Linked DNA regions of Stegostoma tigrinum. The protein of the gene in region 1 interacts with the protein of each later gene in a pairwise test. Links are inferred from orthologs where the notes say so. Each region holds a gene or a part of one and is shown on either strand. Other genes may lie near its edges.

What was found. The genes of interacting proteins can lie anywhere in the genome.
Region 2: the proteins of esrrga (region 1) and pnrc2 interact in binary tests that used the Homo sapiens proteins (3 or more experiments, as listed by UniProt). The link is inferred for Stegostoma tigrinum from reciprocal best matches to the Homo sapiens genes ESRRG and PNRC2.

What each region holds. Positions count from the first base shown.
Region 1 is NC_081362.1:58,972,006-58,979,551, forward strand, and holds the start of esrrga (estrogen-related receptor gamma a), read right to left. Parts: upstream 3,157-7,546; 5' UTR 2,970-3,156; coding exon 2,914-2,969; intron 1-2,913. UniProt on the Homo sapiens protein: Orphan receptor that acts as a transcription activator in the absence of bound ligand. Binds specifically to an estrogen response element and activates reporter genes controlled by estrogen response elements.
Region 2 is NC_081377.1:44,979,865-44,987,505, forward strand, and holds the start of pnrc2 (proline-rich nuclear receptor coactivator 2), read right to left. Parts: upstream 3,185-7,641; 5' UTR 2,779-3,184; intron 2,286-2,778; 5' UTR 2,074-2,285; intron 1,075-2,073; 5' UTR 1,053-1,074; coding exon 612-1,052; 3' UTR 1-611. UniProt on the Homo sapiens protein: Involved in nonsense-mediated mRNA decay (NMD) by acting as a bridge between the mRNA decapping complex and the NMD machinery. May act by targeting the NMD machinery to the P-body and recruiting the decapping machinery to aberrant mRNAs.

The DNA.
Region 1 (7,546 bases):
GCTTTTACACATAAAAAATGTTTCAGAAATGGGGCTTAATAAATAAACCCCATTTTAAATAAAACAGCCTTTGGCTATCTAAAGTAGTTTTGAAACTTTTTTGGGTATATAAAACTCAAATCTTTGGAGCTTAGGAATGAATTATTTTAAATGCTTACTGGAACAAATTGAAAAAACCAACGCTCTGAATTGCATACTTGCCTAAAGCAGACTGAATGAAAATGAAATAGCTGTACTAAATCGAATTTGAAAAGAGGTAGTCATTTTACGCATGTCTCCTCAGTTGAGTTATCCAATACTGTTGCAAGGAGGAAAAAAAAATGCAAACACTGAGATGGCACAGCATGGCTTACTGCTGTTTGAATTGAAATCCAAAGTATGAATCATTGAGTTTCACTGATGTAAAACTTGGTATTTTATTCACACTGGGTAACAAGCTGCCTCGAGAATTGATTGCCCGTGCCTATTCAAAATGTATCAACATTTCAACGCTCTCATCATTTTCCTGAGTAGCTGAACAGGACAATTAATACATTTGATATTTTCTGGGTTATCTGAGGTCTAAACATGATATAATAAGGTGTCACAAAGAGTATGTAACCAAATTAATAAATGCTGCAGCCTTTGCCCAGTAAAACTGTAAAGGCTTGTTTGACTTTCGTGATTAAAATAAGCATAAATTATGTACCAAGTTGAGATTTATCTTCTGAACTCCTGAAATGTTGTGTTTGTATCTTGTACAAAACTATTTGTTAAAAACACATTGTAATTTACAAGTTAGACGAAGTATAATATATGAGTGAGTAGAATAACTCAAAACAATACATGGATCTTTAATAATACTCAGGTACAAAGGCACGGTTTTAGTTATCTGCATGAGAATTCACAGACTGGACAAGTGGACAACACTGGCATTGAGCCTCAAGTGAAGCTAGACATATAGTTGTTCTGAAATGTCTTATCTGTGCAACCTGCTGGGATTAGTTTAACAGTAAAGCCAATTATAGCACTTGCCAGTGCGCCAGCTATCTCCAACCTCCTCCCCCTCTCATATACACACTTTTATGTCTGCAAACTGCCCTAAAGTGTGCAATGAGCCTTTCCTCTTGTTTTCCAGAAAGAATAGTACAAATTAATCCAAGAGAACTCTGTGATTCAGCAGCATGTTAAAGTAGGCAAAGGCCCACTCCATTTGTGGAGCTGTGACCACATGATTGATTGGACAGGTGTCATTCATACTAATGTTAAAATCTGACAGTGCTGATCTGTAAGGCTCTACCGACTAATACAGTCTGAAGCCAGTTACATCACTCCATATGGGTACAGTAAAGAGGCCACCGCAACAAAGCATTGCGTCCTGCTCGTGCCACAACAGCTTGTGCGGTCATTTAAGGAAATGCCATTTTGTCACAAAACAGCTAAATCTGACTCACTGTACCACCCTTTAACGTATCTTATATCAGTTTACATTTTGCTTGTACTTGATGTGACACTTGATAACGGATGAACAGGTATTTCAATATAAACACAGTAGTGAGAGAAAGAGCCATTAGGAATCAACTTTCTTTTTGTGTCACTTGAAGTCCAGGGAAGGAGAAGCAAAGGAAGATGCAATAACTGAGCATCAAGCCAGTGAGATTGTTCATGTCGGAGTCACATTATCAAACACACGTGAAGTATGATTGGGGACACAGGGGGTAAATATTTCACTGCCAGACAGCATTGAAAGCTGCAATTCATTTCTCTCTTGGTTTAGGACAATGACAATTTAATACAAGGCGAGTGAATGTAAAAGAGATAATATTGCACAAACTGCTTCAGTGTAATCGGCTATTTCCTCTGGAGAGCTTAACCACAGTGGCACAGAGACACATTCAGCAGATCAAAAATATATTGTTATTCCTCAGACTTTGCAATTAAAATATTATAGCTAGCCTTCTGCAGGTCTATAATGTTTAGTGAATATAAAGACTTGTTAAAAATAGCTTTGGTAGGAAATGGAATCCGGAGTTGCAAAGGTTTTTTTTACTGCAGGTTAATTACTGTAGCATAGGAGGCTCTGACAACAAAAGAGTGCCGGAAAATACATTTAAATGAACACACTAAACAGCCGTATTCGCTGTAAATGCAAGGTTGTCATTATGTACATCCTGCATCTCTGACCTCTTGCAATATTTAAAGCTCAGTGCAAATATGCAAAAACAGCCGTACAGCAGAAACATAACTCCGAAATGTTAAGATGTGTAGGTATTTTCATACAGGTTTGTGACGTTCGTCCTATACCGAGCCTGTTGCTGACTTGAACAGGGGCAATCATTTAAAGAGATGAATGATACAATGAAAAGTGAAAGAACTTGAGACAAGTTGTCAGCTAACTGAGATCAAGGAACAGCTTATTTTCCCCGTCCCCTTTTTTTTGCTGCAAGCTGTCACAGTTAAAAAATCCCTTCTTAGATTCAAAAACAAAGACCATGTGAATGAATTTCATTCCAATGCAACTACATTAAGCAGATTATATTTTTTAAAAATCATACAAATTAGCTTTTAGACCAAAAAAATCAAGAAAGCATTTTTAAAGTCCTTGCTTCCTTAAAAATAATCATTCAAAATTTCTGTATAATAGATTCAGAAAATACATATTGCATTTGACAATACAGCCCTCGTCCATTCCTTTGGCTTTCTCACATCTTTGGCTAAATTACAAATAGCTGCACAATATGCAATAACAGTAGACTGCTTCTGGGAATCTGGAGATAATTCAGAGAACATCCGTTGCACAGACAGAGTGGGACATAATTCTGGCACAAAACATGCAAGCAAGCAGCACAGACACACAGGGACATACACATATACATCAAACCCTTACAACCCTACAAAACAAACAGCCCAGAATGGGAATAAAAAGGTACCTACTCTTCGTCGTAGTGGAGAGAAAAAGATTCAGGGAGACAAAGTTCTACCAAATCCATGTGCGCTCAGCACCATTATTCGAGCCCACACTCCTGGCAATAAATCAAAGTTCCCTGACAGAGTGGCGCAATTAACACAAATGTTCTCTGGTGACAGCCTATAGGCAAAGCCAGCTGGGACCAGACTCGCACTCTCCTAATCAAGGTCTTAAAGTCCCGATTGTAGCTTATTAATATGAAGCAGGTCTTTACATATGCAATCCCCGACCTCACCAGTCAGCGCATTGGTGGGATTGCAGCCACTCAGAGTAAAGCACTGCAGACAGGACAATTCCTACACTGGCTTAGGGAAGCAATGCAGGTACAGTAGGCGGGAAGTCTCTAAACTGGGAGGAGGGAAGCAAAATTCCACAGCCTTGTACAGTGCAGCGTTTAAAACACAGTTTTCCATCCGTCTGAAAATACAGTTTTCAAAACAGGCTTGAAGGGACAATTATCCATTTGCTTCTTTGAGAAGTTACAGTAAATAGAATTGACTGTGCTAACATAATATATTTTACTACAAATCTGTCACAATTATTTGATCTGTATTTTCAAAACCCTTGTACAGTAGAAAAACTGTCTTGATGTAAATTTACAGAATGCATTACTGCAAGTCATTTTAGCATCCTTTCATGTAAAATAGACAAAAGGGTTTTTAACTTCATTTAAAGCTGAACGGTCTTTCCCAAAAATCATAACTGTATAGCTTTGCTCAAAGCTGTTTATAGGCAAGCACAGTCCTCTCTTTTTCTTAAATGATTAAAATCTATATTCAAAATGCACCATAATCTGAAAGCTGCTCTGAAAGGGCTCACTTGTATTTTTACCTTTTCAAAATTTATCAGTCTACATTGGCTAATAGTTTTACAAATTAACCAGCTACATTACTTACATATTTTCAAAATTTCCCAAAGTGATTTTTTTTCTTTCTCGCAAATTCAGAAGAAAACTGACGAATCACATTTAGGGAAAAATCACACCTTCCTATCCAACTTGAAACTAAAGATTCACTAAAAGTAAGATGATAAATGCTTCCCCTGTACAAACACCAATATCTTTACTGTGTTGACATGAATTGCTTGCTACAGAGCAATACGACAATCTGGCTTGAAGCAATTGTAGAAAGGCTAACCGGCGTCAAACCCATTGCAAGAACTGTTCTGAAATACAGCTCCTCCAATCAGGGTCTCCTTCAAGTGATGCGAGCTCCAACAGCTGGCTGTCTCCCTGCATTCCGTTAACCCAATGTAAACCCTTTTTACCGTCCAAAAGCAAAGCTGCCTCAGAATTGCTTCTGATGTCAAATTAACCATTCTGCAGGCACAATTATGCTGGCAACTGCATTTTTTGCAAGTGTTTCCTAAAGTGTTTGTTAATCACTCAATGCAAGTTAAAAATATTTAACAAAGAAGAATTCTCTCCAAGTACTGTATAGATAATGATCACATTCAGTTGAGATTTCATCAGTATACAATTTCATTGCATCCAGATTTTAGAAATGAACTGTCCACATATATTTGCCATGTATCATAGACCAAATGCTTGCTCCCTAATAACTGTTGTTATAATTCACAGATTTGTCTAACGAAACAGAAAATGTATTTGGAAACAAAACTTCTGCACTTTTTATGTTTTTAATTTTCATACTTCTTTTTATCTTACAATTTAAATTCAACTTATCCAAAATTCAAACCAAACACTGTGATTTAATATCATCATCCACATTAAAAAATGCCATTTGAAAACAGCATTCACTGGTCAATTTGGAAGTTTCTGGCATTGTAGGCAATTGAAGTATGGTCCTTTTCCCAGATTTTCACAGCCAAGATACACAAACTCTCCTCACACTACATTTATAGCTAGCTCTTCAGATAAAACACCGCATGATTGTACAAGCTCCTTTGACTTTCAAATCACCCAAGTGAACATTTTAAATAGAAATGTGATGTTTATTCTATTTTCCACATATCCCTTTAAAAAACTGTTGTATATATATAATGACAAAACATCTTTTTTTCATCCTTTCTGATTACAAACAGGAGGAGCAACCATGCACCTAGCTCCATCAATTGCACATGACCAGACTTTGATATTGTTATATGCTGTCCTGACAGTACATACCAACAATCTACTTCATCTCTGATGTGCTGCTTAGAAGAAATGTTATCATGTGCAATGGCCTGGATCATGTGGTATTGACCACCTCGACACATTTCATATTTATTTGTGTCGAATTCAGCTTTTTGGTGGGACTGTGTCAACTGGCCAGTGTGTACAAACAGAACCTGCAGAATCTGCTTCGGCACAGACCCAGCCACTTTGTACTTGTTAACGTGAGAATTCTGCATCCTTTCTGAACACAAGCTTTACATTAACCCAATGTTTGGCAATAAGCACAGAAGCAAGCATAAGCAATCTGCTGTGTATTCATATACAGAATACATTTCTTCATAAAGCCAGTGTAAACATGTCATTGTTCAATGGAACGACAATGTAAGTAGTCTAATGACCACACAATGTCTACCATGTAAAAATGCCTCACTTTTATGGAGACAGGGTTCACAAAGAATCTTAGCAATACGTGCACTAACAGAAAAGGGCACCCTAAAAACTATTACTGAACCATGCTGCATATCTTTCTGACGCACTGATAAAAGTATCAACAGAAAATTTCCACCCTCCCAAACAAAATGACATTTCTATAAGGAAAGTGGTGGCATTTGCTGGTATATTTGTTCCAATTAATATTAGTATTTCACATTTGTCTAATTCTTACATCCAACCAGGCAGAACACTCATTAATTGTGGGAAGTAGATCACAAATTGCATGAAAATGGTACCACACTCACAAAATCAGAATATTAATTTCTAAATTAATTCAGATTAATATCAACTGCTCTATTAATGACCAATCCACGTCTCAGCACAACTATGTTAACCCATAAAGTACTGGTGCCACTTTAAAATATTAACTTCATGCAGTACTCTTTATGCACTAATGATCTGTAAATTCAAAAATCTAATATGGAGCGTAGCATTAAAATGCACTAATCACCCAATTTAAAAACTTATGCTCAAATGGATATAAGTATTGTGCTTTGCTTTGCCCTTTTAATTCTGGTTATTTTTGCCATGCTGTAAGGTTTACAATAGTCACAGGTGTCTTCTTATGTGAACCATAAATGCAAAAATGTTCAAAACAATTTTGAAGAGTACTGTCTTAACAAGCTAATATTGTAAACTAGAATACTGCAATGAAGTAATAGTGAATCAATAAGGACCTTGAAGTACTGAATTACATTTAGTGAAACTTATAATAGGTCAATTTCTTTTATTACTGAAAAACGGACGAGGAAAATATCAACCAATCAGCTTGTCAATGCTAGAAATAATCCAAATGCATTCCTTATAGGTGTCCTATTAACATGCCCTTAAAAGTATGTGAGAAGACGAGGATCATAAACACAAATTATACAGGTCAACGCAAATCAAACAATTAATAAGAATTGAGGTACCTTTGGCTGCCAGGTGATAAATTGAGTTTTACTGTGTATTTGCATCATTTTGTTCCTTACCTTTTGTCTTTACATACATTTTAACATTGGAAGGCAGACTTTATTTTGAACAATTTCTTACTGCCATCCTCATCAGCAGGAGTTGTAAGTATTTAGGTGTAGGAAACGAACTAAAACGCAAACAATATTGACCTGATGTCTAAAACCATGCTTTTCAAAAGTGCTTGCTGAATGTTTTGTAATCACTGGCTCAGAGGAATGTTTCTACTGACTACAGAATGTACCCAAAACAATCTTCAGATGGATTTTTTGCATCGCCTTGAATTTTACATTGACATCTACTTTGCAATCCCAATATTTTAATCAGAATGTTTCTGTATTTATAGCACCATTTAAGAAGTTATAAATCTTTTTAATAATCACTTTCAAGTAATTCTTATTTAATTATCCCATGTTTCCTACAATAAACAGTCGTGCCAGTTATTTTGACCAAGAAGGTCTGGGTATAGTTTTATTTCATATCAGCAGTAGCAGAAGACATTTCAGGAATGTGTTATTTAACTGATCAGTAGCTTCAACACTGGTCGTTAAAATATCTGGCTATTCCATTTTTGACAATAGAGGGCAGTGATGACTCTATGCTTCCTTCCAGAAAGCACAATGAATATCCACAATGCTCTTAATCTGCAACTACAGGCTTTGCCAACATGCATTTACTTTCAGAAAGAAGAGGAAATTAAAGAAAGGCTACATGCAGTTATAGAGTTTGCTCCAGAAATGCACATTGTTGCCCAATTCATAAGAACAACAGATAAAATAATCTCCATGTGATCAGACAATTCAATTGTCACATTGAAGAGAAGGTAGCAGGTCTCAGGCACCCTACTATTTTGATATGTTAATAGATCTTCTTGGCCTGTGGGTGGTCTGCTTTTGATGCTATTAAAAACTTCAACACTAAATCAAGCGATGAGTATATTCAGGGAAATAGATTCAAAATGTTCACCCCATTTAAACCCTATGATAGTATTCATACAGTGGAAAAATAATTTACATATGTTCAAGGAAAAAAATGTACAA
Region 2 (7,641 bases), on another chromosome or scaffold:
GAAATTTAAGCATTTACTTTTCACTACAGTGCACAAATTGCTTTTACCTCAGGCTCCTAACATATGGTAACATATCTACCACTGGCAGATGTAACTTCATGTTTTGACAAACATTCTTCATGGGTTATTGCATCATAACAATCATCCTTCATAAGGACAGGACCCATTTAATATCAGGAATTTCAAAAAAAGTAATAAAAACCAAACAAACATTCTTCTACAGCAGGAAGCTACATACACATCTTGCTAAATATGCCCAACTGTGGTTGGGCAAAAACAAGATGGCCAACAAAATTGCTGATTCAACACTTTGATAGGAGCAAAATCTTTAGATCTAAAGTCAGGAATATTCTTCAGTCAAAACATTGGAATTCCAATGTTTTGAGTTGAAATTTGTTTCCTATTCACAGAAAAAGGGCAGAACAGGAGGAGGAAACAAGCTTCCAGTACAACTGCTGGACACAAAACTGCGCCAATACACACCAAAAACAACCAACTTGGAAGGATATCAAAGGCAGTGCTTTCTTAAAAAAAACAAACACCAAAACTCCTGTATTATGTAGTCCAATTAGAAACTGTTTCCAGCAGTGGGGTCCTTTTAAGTCTACAGACTATGCCTGCACTTTTAGCATGGTCTTCAACTGAAAGGTCATTTCACTGTGATCAGATGACTCCAAGGGCACACGTACCCAATGGCTTGGAGGCTTGGGTAGTACACTTGGTGATGGTGGCTCACTGAACTTGGCTCCAGCATAATTTTGATCAGACTGCAACCTAAACAGTGTGCTCGAGCTGCTCAGAACTGCCTCCCAACTCTGATTGTTTGCAGTAAAGTGCATAACATTCTTTCCTTCTTTCTGCACAACCTGACATGTTTCAGAAATAAATTGATATCGTCCATGTCCCTTCTCGCCTTTCTTGTGCATTGTTTTCATGTGATAGAGATTATCATCCTTGTTCTTTTGTCTGCTGCTGTTTAAGTGCAGGTTTCTCTTTGGAGTCCCATGGTTTGGTTGGGATATTGGGATGTTTAATCTTTCGACACCTCCCATTTTTCTCCAAAGAAACTATCACCTGTAAAATTAGAAGAAAAATGGTCAATTCTAATTCCAACTCTTGAACGTGCACCAAAATGTTTAGAAATTAAAATGGGTACTTAAAAGGGTGAACCAATACCACAACATTTCAGTTTGGGGCCAGGCCTAACTTTTTTTGCATTTGTTAAAATAACTACTTGCAACAATGCGACTGCTTTTGGAGTACTAGCTGCAACAGCTATACGTTAACCACATGCTAGGACACTATCACTGCAGTTGCAAACAGTAAAAATAATGTCACTATGGTCACTTTTCAGAAAGCCTTTCCATTGTTTTACAAGAATTACTCCTTTAGTCACCCAGTGTTTAGATGCAACTAACAGAAACCTCTGGGTTTTAATGATTCAGCTGTAACTTTATTTAAAAAAAATTGTGTCCTTCCGGCTGACAACGCACGACCCGTGAAACAAGGTGAGGAAGACTTACAACCACTGGATTTGAGAGACAGTTAAAGGATGTAAAATGGATTAAAGATAATAAAATGTGAGGCTGGATGAACACAGCAGGCCAAGCAGCATCTCAGGAGCACAAAAACTGACGTTTCGGGCCTAGACCCTTCATCAGAGAGGATGAAAATGGATTAAAAACGTGTTTTGAAATACACTACCAAGTTCAGAGGAGTCCAACTGCAATTCTAAAGGTAAGATCGCCCAGCTACAAACGTTAATATTTCTGAAACACTGAATAGGAATATGAACGTGAACAAATTGAAGAAATACGATATTTCTCCCACGACATCCATATCCCGTGAAAGACCGAAGGCCACTAAGGAATGAACTGCGGATGTTGTAAAATGTAACTATCTTAACTGATTATTTTCCACTCTGATTTAACAGCTAGTCAAGCTCTAGAAAAGATTGCAACCAAGAATCGGAGTCAAGAGATTAATAACTTTTTAAAAGCAGGAACGTTTTTAAAAGTTTGTTCAGTCTTTGCCGACGTGCAGGAGTCTCTCTTTTCCCCCCAAGACACCAACCTCTTCGTCGAAAAATCCCAAAACTTGTCGATCTTCTCGTCCAAAGCTTTCTGGAAACTTCGACGCCAGGTTATAAGGAAATTCTCACTTTTGGTGAATCTTGGTGATTTTCCCCAAGTAGGAATTTGCATCAGCAGAACTCCGACAGAAGATGGTGCAGCCAAGCACAACATGGGTCTGCTCGGCACACACGGTTCCGTACAGTTCACACCCTTCAGAAGCAATAAGAAAGAAAGAGCTCAGAAAACAAAACACTGACCAAAAAGTAACAAAGTGGAGGAAATTTTCGACCAAGAATCCAATTTTAAAAACTACTGGTAAACTGTGTACAGTTTTAGACCTTCCCCTCCCCCTTTTTGCTACGGAATTTCCTGATCACGGGACTAGAAAACGGCCATTTAACAACATCAGCGCATTTTTTCCAAGCCTTCGGGGGGGTGGTAGGTATTTGAGCCCAACACAATTTGGTCTGAGCCCCTACTTGACAAGTTTCTAGGTACTACTCGCACTGAGGTAAGCCAGGCGGCAAGAAATTTTCCCCGATCGAGAGAAACAGGTCGGGAAGGAGGGGCAAGAGAGAGCGCAAACAAAAGACAGAGCCTAGTTTGGGGGAGGGGAGAGAGAAAGAAAGAAAGAGGATCATTAACAACAGCTCCCCCCACGCTGACCCTTCCAGGCTCGGACTCTCGCGTACTTGGTACTTACACAGGGCCCGGCGCTATCTAAATTGAAAATCCGCACACAGAACTACGTTCCCGGTCACTCTCTGCCCACAGCTGCTCCACCCCCTCGATGTAGCAGAAAATGGAATCCGGAGACAAGTAGCCGCCTGGCAGCCAATCAGAAATGCTTCAGCTCCGACTCGCTACACAATCCTGGCCAATCGGAGTGCAAATAACTACCAACGGATACTTCACCCTGACCAATCAGCTCTCGAGCCACTGATGGAGACACCGCAGTGGCCAATCCGTTTCTATGCCGCCCCACGGGCTGGAGCAGTAGCCGCTGACATTTCGGGTTTATGTTTGGTTTTTGTTATTGTCGCTGGTACCGTCAGGCTATTCCATGTGCCCTTTGATGTAGTTTGCTTCCTTTTCACCGTCCAAGATGGCTGCTCTCCTTATTGAACGAGTGTGGGCCCTTTTTTTAACGTTTAATCTCATTGGGTGGTTTAAAATTGGAACAGCATCTCATTAAATCGCCACCAATCAGCGGAAACCGCAAACGTTGAATACACGTTAGACGTGAGTTGCAAGACTGGAACATTCCCCCTGGTATTTACTGTCGCTTAGGAGGAAACTGAGCTTGCACCTTACAGTCGTTTTCATATCCTCAGCATAGCCCAGTACTACTGTAAAAGCAGAAATTGCTGGAAATGCTTAATAGGGTTGGCAGCATCTGTGAAGAAAAAAATTCCGAGTTCTCGTCTCGGTTCCGGTGACCATTCCTCGGAACACCGGACCCGCAATGTTAATTGATTTTTTTTTCACAGATGCTGCCAGACCTTTCCAACAATTTCTGTTTTTGTTCCAGTACCTATTGTTTGTTGCAGTGTACTATCGTGGTTGCGAAGTCAATTACTATCGCCGTAGTAAAAATTAGAATGTCCAAAAACAAGATACTTGCTAACGTTGTATCAGAGATAATGGGAACTGCAGATGCTGGAGAATCCAAGTTAATAAAGTGTGGAGCTGGATGTACACAGCAGGCAAAGCAGCATCCCAGGAGCACAAAAGCTGACGTTTCGGGCCTAGACCCTTCATCAGAGAGGGTCTAGGCCCGAAACGTCAGCTTTTGTGCTCCTGAGATGCTGCTTGGCCTGCTGTGTTCATCCAGCTCCACACTTTATTTACTCGCTAATGTTTATTCATTATATTGTTGCACAATTACACAAACAGTCTAATATTTGTTTCTCCATTGCATTGCGTTGTCGCTGTCCTTTTTTTTCCATTTTTAAAAGAACTGCCCAAATGCCACCCTAAATGCTGATCCAGTATTTAAAGATAATCAGTGCTCACTTCACTGATAATTTGTAACCAAAAATGTACAGACGCTTAGTTACACCGCACCTGCAGTATTGTGTACAGTTTTGGATCTCCTTACTCTCTCATTGGGGAGACCAAGCGGAGAGAACTATCAGTGGTGCAAGGTGGATATCTGACAGCGAAGGAAGGAATATAAAAGAAATATCTCTTTCAGACAGTAGGAACAGTCGATGCTGGAGTCTGAGATAACAGGGTGTGGAACTGGAGGAATACAGCGGGCCAAGCAGCATTAGAGGAGCAGGAAAGCTGTTGTTTCAGGTTTGGACCCTTAAGAAATGGGAGATGGGCCTCTGAAATAAATAGAGGTGCAGTGAAAGAAGGTGGATAGTGGAGCTGATAGGTGGGAGAGAAGACGGACAGGTCAAGGAGGTGGAGATGAAGCTAGTAAAGGTGAGTGTAGATGGGAAGTGGGGATGGGGTTGGTCAGTGAGGAGGGAGAAGCGGATAGGTGGGAGAGAAGATGGACAGATCAAGGAGGCGGGGATGGGGGGGTTAGTTTTGGGATGAGGTTGGGGGTGGGGAGATTTAGAAGCTCATAAAGTCCACATTGAGACCATTGGGTTGGAGGGTTCCAAGGCGGAATATGAGGTGCTGTTCCCCGAGTTTCCGGGTGGTACCCTTGAGACACTGGAGGAGGCCCAGGATGGACATGTCGTCCAAGGAGTGGGAGGAGGAGTTGAAGTCGTTCACGACTGGGAGGTGTTGTCGTATGTTGCGAACCAAGCATTGGTGCTCCACAAAGTGGTCGCCGAGCCTCTGCTTGGTCTCCCCGATGTACAGGAGGCCACTTTGGGAACAGTGGATACAATAGACCACATTAACGGATATGCAGGTGAACATCTGTTTCATGTGGAAGGTTTTTTTGGGGCCTGGGATGGAGGTAAGGGGGCAGGTATAGGGGCAGGTGTAGCACCTCCAAGCCCCACCACCCCTGGCACCCCCCACTAGCCCCACCACCCCGGCCCCATTATAAAGGATATGTTTTCCTCCCCATCCTTATCTGCCTTCTGGAGGGATCGCTCTCTCCGCATCTGTCCCCACTCCCCACCAGCCCCACCACCCCCAGCACCTTTCCCTGTAACCACAGGAAGTGCTACACCTGTCCCTACACCTTCCCCCTCAGCCCCATCTCAGGCCCCCAGAAAACCTTCCACATTAAACAGATGTTCACCAGCGTATCTGCTAATGTGGTCTATTGTATCCACTGTTCCCGATGTGGCCTCCTCTACATCGGGGAGACCAAGCGGAGGCTCGGAGACCGCTTTGTACAGCACCTATGCTTAGTTCGCGACAAACAACAACACCTCCCAGTTGCGAACCACTTCAACTCCCCTTCCCATTCCCCGGCCGACATGTCCATCCTGGGCCTCCTCCAGTGTCTGAATGATGCCACCGGTAAACTGGAGGAGCAGCACCTCATATTCCATCCTCAGTCTTTCATTCACTGGCTGAAAATTCACCTTTTCAGTCTCACTGATGCTAATTTCCCTTTCCCTTCCCACTGCGTATATCCAGAGAGATCAGCTGACAAAAGAAGTATGGGGAAGAATTTTCTGAAGAAGGGTCCAGGCCCGAAATGTCAGTTTTCCTGCTCCTTTGACGCTGCTTGGCCTGCTGTGTTCATTAAGCTCTGCACCTTCTTATCTCAGATTCTCCAGCATCTGCAGGTCCTGCTTTCTCTGAAGAAGAACAGTTGGTTGTTAGCAGTTTTATTTTCCATGCCCACAACAAAAGGGAGAGAAAGAGAGTTGGTTACTTTCTTTTTGCAGGTTAATTGTTTCTCCTGCACATACATACATGTGGCAAGAGTCTCTTGAACCAGTCAAGAGTTTATTACTGTGCTGGGCCCTCATAAACCCAACACAACTGGTGCCAATTGAGAAGCCATTCCAAAATTGTCCCTAGGCAGAGTTGCCTTGACATATAGATGGTGCCAATTTAGTTAGACCTTTGCCTCACCGCTCCACCAAAATAATATACTATATTACCCTCAACGTGTTACCAATTATTTTTGTTTCCTTGGTTTAAAGCAATGGGACCAGGAGTTGGCCATACAGCCCTTCGAGACTGCTCCAACATTCAATAAGATCAGTGGTCTAACTCTGTATACCTGCCTTCGCGGCCCATATCCCTGTATTATAGAATCCCTACTGTGTGGACACAAGCCGTTCAGCCCAAGAAGTCTGCATCGACTTTCCAAAGTGTATCCCATACTGACTCACCACTCTACCCTCTCACCCTGCATTTCCCATGGATAATGCATTCATTGCTGGACACTATGCGCGATTTAGCATGGCCAATCCACCTAACCTGCATATATTTGGACTCTTGGAGGAAACCCACGCTGACACAGGGAGAACGTGCAAACTCCATACAAACTGTCGCCCGAGGCTGGAATCGAACCCAGGCCCCTGGTGCCGCCATGCTATTTACTAAAAATTTGTCTATCTCAGATTTAAACTTAACAATTGAATTAGCATTGACCGCCATTTGAGAAAGAGTGCTTTCTGACATCTTTCCTGAATGGCCTGACCCTAATTTTTTGACTATGCCCCTTGGCTCTAGAATCTTCAACCAGTGGAAATAGTTTACCTTTATCTACTCTATCTTTCCCTGTTAATATCCTGAAGACCTCAACTAGATCACCCCTTCTAAATTCTAGACAATAAAGGCCTCATTTGTCTAAGCTCTACTCATAACTTAAATCCTATAGTCCAGGTCCTGTCCTTGTAAACCTACATTGAACTCCCTCCAGGGGCCAAACCTGATGCCCAGATCTGCTCACAGCACTCTGGATTGGGGTCTAACCAGGGTTTTATATAACTGCAGCATAACATCTACATGCCTATTGTCAAGCCTTTATGAATGAAGGCCATCATTCCATTAGTGTCTTGATTACCGTCTACATCTGGACAAGCCCCAGGCTCAGAGCCCAAGGGCTGCCTATTCCACTGCTGCCATCTTAGTATATTTGGAGAGAGCGAGAAACAGAGAATTCTGGGAAGATTTCTACCAATGCACGCATTATCTTTATAACAATCTGAGATGCAAACCATCAGGTTTAGGGGACTCATCAGTCTTGGGCCCCATTAGTTTCCCCAGTTCTTTTTCTTTTTCTTTTTCTTTTTTTTTCCTCCAGTGATAGTTGTTGTACTTACTTCCTCTTCTTCCTTTGCTCCTTGATTTTATTTAGTAATTTTGGAATACCATTAGTAACTTCTACTGTAAAAAAACTGTAGCAAAGTATGTATCCATCTCTGTTATTTCCTGGTTCCCACTTTTATTTCCTCAGTTTTGTTCTCTAAGTGACGTACATTCAATTTGACCTCGCTTCTTTTGTTTTGTGTATTTTAAAAGATCCACTCAATAGCTGTTGTACCAAGGTAGAACTTCATTCCAAAATTTCATAGCTTGATTTTTTTTAAGTTTGGTTTGATCAACGAAGAGACCTTGGGGTGAAGGTTCACAGTTCCTTGAAAGTGGAGTCCCAGGTAGACATGGTAGCAAAGAAGGCATTTGGTAC